Linked DNA regions of Cricetulus griseus. The protein of the gene in region 1 interacts with the protein of each later gene in a biochemical or structural test. Links are inferred from orthologs where the notes say so. Each region holds a gene or a part of one and is shown on either strand. Other genes may lie near its edges.

What was found.
Region 2: the proteins of Eya2 (region 1) and Six1 form a complex in vitro, tested with the Homo sapiens proteins (2 studies listed by IntAct, with this or other methods). The link is inferred for Cricetulus griseus from reciprocal best matches to the Homo sapiens genes EYA2 and SIX1.

What each region holds. Positions count from the first base shown.
Region 1 is NC_048599.1:13,742,086-13,746,044, reverse strand, and holds the start of Eya2 (eyes absent homolog 2), read left to right. Parts: upstream 1-1,156; coding exon 1,157-1,265; intron 1,266-3,762; exon of another isoform or gene 3,763-3,888; intron 3,889-3,959. UniProt on the Homo sapiens protein: Functions both as protein phosphatase and as transcriptional coactivator for SIX1, and probably also for SIX2, SIX4 and SIX5.
Region 2 is NC_048598.1:130,342,222-130,346,412, forward strand, and holds the start of Six1 (homeobox protein SIX1), read left to right. Parts: upstream 1-1,390; 5' UTR 1,391-1,668; coding exon 1,669-2,228; intron 2,229-4,191. UniProt on the Homo sapiens protein: Transcription factor that is involved in the regulation of cell proliferation, apoptosis and embryonic development. Plays an important role in the development of several organs, including kidney, muscle and inner ear.

The DNA of each region.
Region 1 (3,959 bases):
TCAGAACTAGAGAGAGTTGAATCCATGATGTTTCTGTGTTGGACCTGGTCCTGCCATGGTGTGTCCCATCAGTGTCGTGGTAACTGGCCATGCCCTGATGGCCTCAGCTTAAGAAATGTTCAGTAGGTGTTGCCTGTTACTGTTTGACGTGGCACTCAGTAATGAGTATTGTGAGTTAAGTCTAGGCCATTGAGCACGGCTACCCCGCATGCTGTGAACATTAGCTGGCAGCCCTGTTTCCCAGTCATAACATACAGGCACTTAGGAGCAACTACAGTTACAGCGCCAGCATGAGATGTGTCAATGAAAAATGAAACCCCATGACACCTTGTGTTCCCCCACGCACACACTCCCACCCCCAACCCTGTGACATGTCAAAATCTGGAGCAGTTCCAGCCTCAGAGCTTGCTTTCTTGGAAGGGGCAGCTGCTCTGGGCTGTGGGGCATACCACCTAGAGACACTCGGGTCCCAGGGATGGAACCCAAGGCCTCACATGTGTAAGGCAAGCACCTGCTCTCTAGACCTCTCTTTACTTTTCATTTTGCAGCACGGTCTCACAAAGTAGCCCAGGCTGGCCTTGAATGTGCTCTGTAGCCCAGGCTGGTATTGAACTTAGGATTCTTTTACTTCAGCATCTCGAGTAGCTAGGATTACAGAGGTATGGCACCAGGCCCCATCCTAGAGGCACTTGTGAAATTCTGTGACTGTCTTCTATGCCATTTTCCACCTGTACAAACAGCATACTGCCCACTTTGCTACCACAGCCAACTCTAAGTGCCCTTGCCCAGCTCCTCTAGTCTATGGGAGTTGAAATACCAATCCTTCCCCCTACCCTGTCACCCCTTCCTCTCCTGGGATGTCTCCCCAGTTCAAAGGCAATCCAGAAGAGAGACCAAAACACAATACCTCTAATGGGAAATTCCAAGCACAGGAGGGGTGTTTAGATGGAGTGGGCGTGCTCTCTAGGGGCAAGGACTTCATTTCCATTTTGACTAAAAGTTTGTGAATTTGTATTATATGGAATCTATTAGAAGGTTAGGAATAGGTAATCAGCTTTTAATATTTACATTCTTAGGGGGAAAAGATGATTCATTAGCAAACATGAATAATAATGAATAAATTAATTTCCCTTTGTCTCCACTCAGGTACAAGGCGATGTTAGAAGTGGTGATCTCACCCAGCCTCGCAGCAAGCAGTGACTGCAAGGAATCCCTGACGTGGAGTGAAGACAACGCCGCTGTGGGGGCTCTGAGTGACAGAGAAGGTAGGCCTCTGCAAAAACTTGACTGGACGAGTTAAGAGGGCCTTGTTCATTTGTGACAGGTAGAGGTTCCCATGGTACCATTCCCAGAACCTGACATTCCCACTGATGGTTCTAGAACAGAAGTTGGGTGCACATGGATCACAGTCTTGTCCATCATTCAAGGGACAGGTGTACTCGGTCTTGCCCTAGCTGCCCTTCTTGGTCTCTGGTTCCGAGAAACCCTGACATTTGCTATGAAGGACAGTCGCCCTGGGTGCATTCCTAACCCTACCAAAGGTATGACCTGTTGGGTCTTCATCTCTGTCCCTCAGCTCCCTCCTGCCATCACCTCTTCCCAGCAGGAGTCAGGTTCACAGGCTTCTGTGCCCAAGACGAGGCCTTGTCTGCTGTTGCTTTCAGGTTGGGTTGAAGTCAAGGAAGCAGAAGACAGTTAAAGCTGTTAGGAAATTATTGGCAAATGATGCTGCCAGACTAGTTTTCTCTAGAACAATCCAAGCTATTGTTTGCTCTGCTGGGATTGTCAGCCTTCCTGGTAGAGCCTGAGGTGAGCTGAAGGCATTAAGCTATCACACTGAAGCATTAGGCTTAACCCTTTCCCCAGCAGTGTGCCCAGGGATTCGCTGCCAGTGGTGTCTTCGGGTCCCCCTTGTTCTCTTTCATGGTCCCTGTGTGATGCCAGATCATCGGACAGGAATGTGACAGGACTGTCACAAGTAACCAAAAGGTCATGTGTCCAATGCAAAGCAACATCACAAGGAACTTTTTGAGAGAAAATCCAGGTTTCCCTGAGTAATTATTCTGTCACCAAGACGATGAATGGCATTGCCCTTGCATGCTGGTTATGACATTAGGCAACCCTGTTCAAAATCTTCACTGCAAGGGTGTGGGCTCTGAGACCAGGACTGGATGGTGGGAGGGAGGCACACCTGGCATCTACAAGCATCTGTGAAAATGACCCTCTGAAGGGTCAAAGACCTTCATAGTTTTCTCTCTGGGTAGATGCCCAGGCCAATTTCCTACTGTGTTTCCAAGTCAGCATGGCAAGGGTCTGGGCTGTGGGTGTGGGGCATCCAGGTCTGACTCCCAGCCCAGCCACTCCCCAGCCATGCAATCTTTCTAAGTCTTAGTTTCCAGCCCTGTTGAATGGGCTGTGCTAATGGACCACTCTGTAGAGTGCCGTACAAGGGATTAAATGAGGTTATGGTGTGTGGCAGGCCTGTCCCACCCCGGGGGCATGGTAAATGATTAAGTAGACCATTGTCACCCTCTGAGTCAAATAACCACAGGGATCAGAGGCAGGGTGGGAGTCTGGCCCTGGGCCAGTCCTTTGTTTGGCCTTAATGGTAAGTTGTACATAGTTGATGGCTTTGTGAAACATAGGGAGAGTGTACATCAAATCTACTTTCCCCTGACTCCTTCAGCTGCAAGAGGAACCTGGCAGCAGCAGAGAGGCAGTTGTCCCTTAGATAAGTCCCTGTCCCTCCCCTTCATCTTCAGTGTTCCTTAGAACTGACTCTGTGGCAGGCCCTTCCTCATCTCTGGTTCCAAGAAATGCTGACATTACCACAGAACAGGGTCATTTTGGGGTGCATTCCCAGCCAGGTCCTGTGAATCTGGCTTCCTCCTCTCCTCCTTCTCTTTCACTACCACAGCAAACATTTGGTGGTAATTTTGAACTGCGGGCTGAGGGTGTGGCTCAGTGGTAGAGCACCTACCTCAAGGTAAAGGGCTGGGAACATAGCTTGGCAGTATAGCATTTGCCTAGAGTCTACCAGTGACAACTCTGCATTCCTATATATGCATTTAAATCCCCTTCCTATTTAGTATACAGCTCAGTGCCTGGCTTATAGAAGACCTTAAAAAATACGGATGGATGAATAGGTGAGCAGGTGGGTGGGTGAGTATATGGGTGGACAGAGAGGCGGATAGAGAGATAGGTGGGTGGTGGGTAGATGAGTTCTTGGGTGGTTGGGTTGATATATGGGTGAGTGGTTGCATAGATGGGTAGGTGGTTGTGTGTTTTGAAGCATGGATGCAGATCTTGAGGGATGAGCTAATTTCAAGTCAATATTAGCTTTGAACCACAAATACAATTTTCTTAGCTTCCCCTGCCCAGGTTTGTTGCCTCCCTAAGGCTCAGGTCATGGCAACCTCCTCTTGGATTCTATTCTAGTTTCATCTCTGTTGCTCTGGTAAAAACACTCTGACCAAAGCGACTGAGGGGAGGAAAGAGCTTAATTGGCTTATACTTCTGGGTCTCAGTCCGCCATTGAGGAAAGTCAGGGCAATATCTCAGAGCAGAAACCACAGACGAATGCTGCTGTCTGGCTTCCTCCTAGACTCACGCTCAGCTAGCTTTACTATATTATATTCATTTATCACGTGAAAATTACATGGTGATTCGTATGTCTTGGTTTTCTCATTGCCTATTCTTTAAACTTATAAACCAACCAATCTCACCATCAACACCATGCTCCCTTCGAGCTATCTTGTGTGTTGTAGTCCTTCTTGTGTGTATCAAAACTCATTCTGAACTATGAGCTCTGGTTGTAAACGAAGACAGGCCCTTGCAGGCCTCGTCTCTGCTTTTGTGCACTAGTTGAACAAACCACACATGCATGCTACCAGCTAGCCTTCTTATACATTCCAGGACCACCTGCCTTGGGATGGTGACACCCACAGTGTGTTGGGCCC
Region 2 (4,191 bases), on another chromosome or scaffold:
GAGATAAGTATAGTCATAAAGTCACTCTCCTTCAACCGTTTGGCTTACCTTATCTCCACACATTGTTCTTATCTGCTGCCAGTCTTAGCTACTGACAATAGATTATCTTTATTTAGAGAAGCTAATTGTTTTCAAAATCTTTTTAATAATTGCTTTGGAACAAGGTGTGCAAATGAGGCTTAAGATAATTACAGCTTCATTTGTTTGTATAGTTTTACTAAGCATCCTCCACACAGAAACAAAATAGCAGATGATGGGACTTAAATTGCAGGACACCTCTGGTTCTCTGGCAGCAAAACAGGCTAGCATTGCAACACACACACACACACACACACACACACACTTTATTTAATCTTCTTGGAGCCACTGTGGTTCTAGCTTTGAGGGCAGTGTCCCTCTCAGAGCAGGGCAAGGATTATGTTACAGCGCGACGGTTATTGGAGCTGGGCACAGTTTTATTTAATTTACACCCCATCCAGAGCCTTTTGCATAAGGCTCCCAATACATTTTTGCTAATGGCAAGTAAAGCTTTTCGGCATTCATCGGTAACAGAGGTGGCGCTGGAAAAAAAAAAGCCACTGTGCAAATGGGAAAACTGAGTCCAGGAAATCAGTCGACTAAGTCAAGATACTAAACCGCAAATGAAGCACGGGTGTCTCTATCCAAACTCGGCTATTGTGCCAGGGCCAACAACCCTTCTCCAGATGCCACTTCTAGAGGCACTTTGAGAATAAGGGGAATGCTGCCCAGATCAGAGTACTTGCGCCCTTTTGGTTTAGGAAGGGAAAAGGGGGAGGGAATTAGGTTTGGCTCCCGGAGCTGAAGACAAACCTGGGAGAAGTCACTGAGTGCCTGCAGCACAGAACCCTAGTCTGCTGTTGTATTATTTATCGCGTTCCATAAGCTATTCATCAATCCATTATTTATTCATCTCAACATTAAGGTAATTAAATATGAGCTCACCGGGAAAAGCCAAGACTACAAGGGACAGGGATAGGAGTAAGGCGTAGAGGGTCATTAGAGAACGTCTGCAGTCATTGATTTGTGCAGAGATGAGCGAGGCTCCCCTTAGGTGACACCAAAGAGGGCGCCGCATTTCAAGGTCCGGACTTGCTCACCACCCTTTTCAGAGCCCTAGTTCCCTCCTCCCGACCCCACCCCACTTCCCACCTCTCCGGGTACTCCTCCTCCCAACACTCCTTATACTCTACTCCGCAGCAGCTTCTCCCTCCCCACGCGGGGCGGCTGGGCGGCGCGGCTTTGCTGCCTGGCCGGGCGGCGCGCAGGCTGGCCAGCTTCGGATAGGCGCCGCCTGCAGCCAATCAGCGTGCCGGGGACGCTGCGCGCTTTAAGGCCGCTGCGGGGAGAACAGAAACCAAGTTCCCCGGCAACCAACAGCATCCACCCGGCGGCAGGCGGGAGCCAGCGAGGCCCGGAAGGCTGCAGAGTGCTCCAGCCACTCGGAGTCTAGCGCGCCCTTGCTTCTCTCGGTCTTCCTACGCCTCCCACCCGCAAGGTCCGACTAGCCTCTTGGTTTGCGCCAAGCCTGGGAGGGGGTTAGGAGCAGCCGCGCCCCCACCCCTCCCCGCGGCAGCCGCTCCCCCCTGCTCTCTCAGATCCGCTCACTGCCGCGTGCGCCCGGGCCGGTGCGCCCCGGCAGCGCCAGCCATGTCGATGCTGCCGTCGTTTGGTTTTACGCAAGAGCAAGTGGCGTGCGTGTGCGAGGTTCTGCAGCAAGGCGGGAACCTGGAACGCCTGGGCAGGTTCTTGTGGTCTCTGCCAGCCTGCGATCACCTGCATAAGAACGAGAGCGTGCTCAAGGCCAAGGCGGTGGTCGCCTTCCACCGCGGCAACTTCCGCGAGCTCTACAAGATCCTGGAGAGCCACCAGTTCTCGCCTCACAACCACCCCAAACTGCAGCAACTGTGGCTGAAAGCGCACTACGTGGAGGCCGAGAAACTTCGAGGTCGACCTCTGGGTGCCGTGGGCAAATATCGCGTACGCCGAAAATTCCCGCTGCCGCGAACCATCTGGGATGGTGAGGAGACCAGTTACTGTTTCAAGGAGAAGTCGCGGGGCGTGCTGAGGGAGTGGTACGCACATAACCCCTACCCCTCGCCGCGGGAGAAGCGAGAGCTGGCCGAGGCCACCGGCCTCACCACTACCCAGGTCAGCAACTGGTTTAAGAACCGGAGGCAAAGAGACCGGGCTGCCGAGGCCAAGGAAAGGTACGCGGCGTGCTAGCCCAGACTTGGGCGACCCCGGGAAGTCTCACCCTTCATCCCTTTCGGCCCTTCCTTCCCCCCTTCCCTCAATCCCCGCAGGCATAGCTCCGGAGTCGGTACCCGCCGGCGGCGGGCAGAGGTCCGTGGGGCGGCGCCCCAATCTCCGTGACGCTGCAGTGAAAGTTCACGAACTCTCGAGGTTGCCTGCTAGGGACTGGGCCGCGTTTGCGTTGAGCACCCGCGCGTGGGTTTCTTTGGTGGGGAAAAGTGTTGGGAGCTGTTGGCTCTGCGTTTGTTGTTCCTGCCTTCCTGGCTGTCTGCGGTGAAAAGAGGGTGTCCAGGGAGTTTGTAGTTCGGAGGGAAGGGGTGTGTTGTTTGGTATATGCTTAGGAAGCCGGTTCATGCAGCGGAGGGTCTCGAACCTCCGCCCTTTCACCCGGGCTTGAAGCTTATCTGAGACATCCGCTCAGCCCCCAACGCCTCCGGGCTCTTTACTCGCTCTCTCTGGCTAGTATATGGATGAGAGTCCACTCCGCACCAGTTGGACAAAGGGAGGAGTCTAGTGGAGAAATACCCTGAAGAGAGAGCTCTGGGGGAGTCGCTACTGGGTGTCCTATCAGAGGCCCCAAGCCGGGAGAAGACTGCCGCCTGCCGCGCTCCCTCGTGCGTAGCCGGGTTGCTTTTTCTGGCCCCGCCGTCGCCGTGGGAGAGGAGTGGGGCTCCGGTCGCTGGCTTCTCCTGCTCTGGAGCTCCGAAGCAAAGCTTTGAGGCGGGGTGTGGGTGGGTGGGTGGGTGGGTGGAGGGGGTTGCTGTTTCTGCTTCCCCATCCTCGCGCAGACACGGCGGCGGCTAGGCCGGGGCGGTTCGCTGCCGAGCTTCTGGCCGATGTTTGGAGGCGAGCGGGGCAGAGGGCGGCGAGCGCAGCGCGGAGCAGAGCTGATAGTCTGGGGACCCGGGAGCAGGGCCCCGCAGGCTGTCCTTTGTTCGCTGGCACCCCGGGGGCCGAAGATCTAGTTTCCTTCTTCCTCTCCGGGTGGGAAACCACAGAGCTTCCCTAAATTCCGCCGAAAGGGGCTCTCCGACCTTGCGGGGAAGAGAGAGTGCAGACCGCCCGGCGCGCAGCGAGGGGCGGCAGCCGGCGCTCGGGAGGTGGAAGCCGCGAGCAGGGAAGTCCAGAAGTTGACTGGGACCTAGTGCGGGGACTGACTCGGCCGTGCGGGGCCCATCAGCGCCCAGCCGGGGTGGGGCGGCGAAGTTTTCCCTTCTGAGAAAGGGTGGGAGCCTATGGATTGTTGGCGAGCAGCTTGAGGCGAGGACAGGAGGAGCTGAGAAACGAACTAGGAGCAGCGAAACAGAGATTGCAAGGTTCCAGCTAGCCTTTAGTTTACAAAACGGCCGGTCTCTGAAGCCAAGCGAGGGCCCACTCCTGGATGAAATCCGAGAGACTGGCTAAGCTCCCTGTGTTTACTCAGGTCACTGGGCCGCTCTGGGCACGACTTCCCATGACCTGTCCTAGGTCTCTGAAACCCCAATCTCCAGACAGGGGCTGGGAAACTGGTCATCTAATTGCTTCCTCAGATGGTGGCAGGCCATTGACTTGGGTCACCGCAAGCATTTGTGCATTGGGCAGTTTGTCTCCCGATCATTTCTTTATCGCAGCAACCATTTGTCTGAGGGCTTCCAAACAGTTACTTGGGTGTACGGGGCTAGTTGACGGGTACTTAAACGTAGCTGCTGGGACAAAATTGAAAACACATTTTTGGGGGCTTATTTTAAATAAACACGGCTCATCCGACTTTGAGGAGTACGGAAGAAACGGGGCTATGTGCAGGCAGCAGGCTCCCCATTTCCCTAGTCGGCCTTTTCACCTCCCCCATGACCCTTGGGGATGGGTGGGAGGCAGAGATCCTCCATTTGGATTGGTGACAGATTGCACAACGGCCCTTTCCTCCTCCCAGCCCCCCCT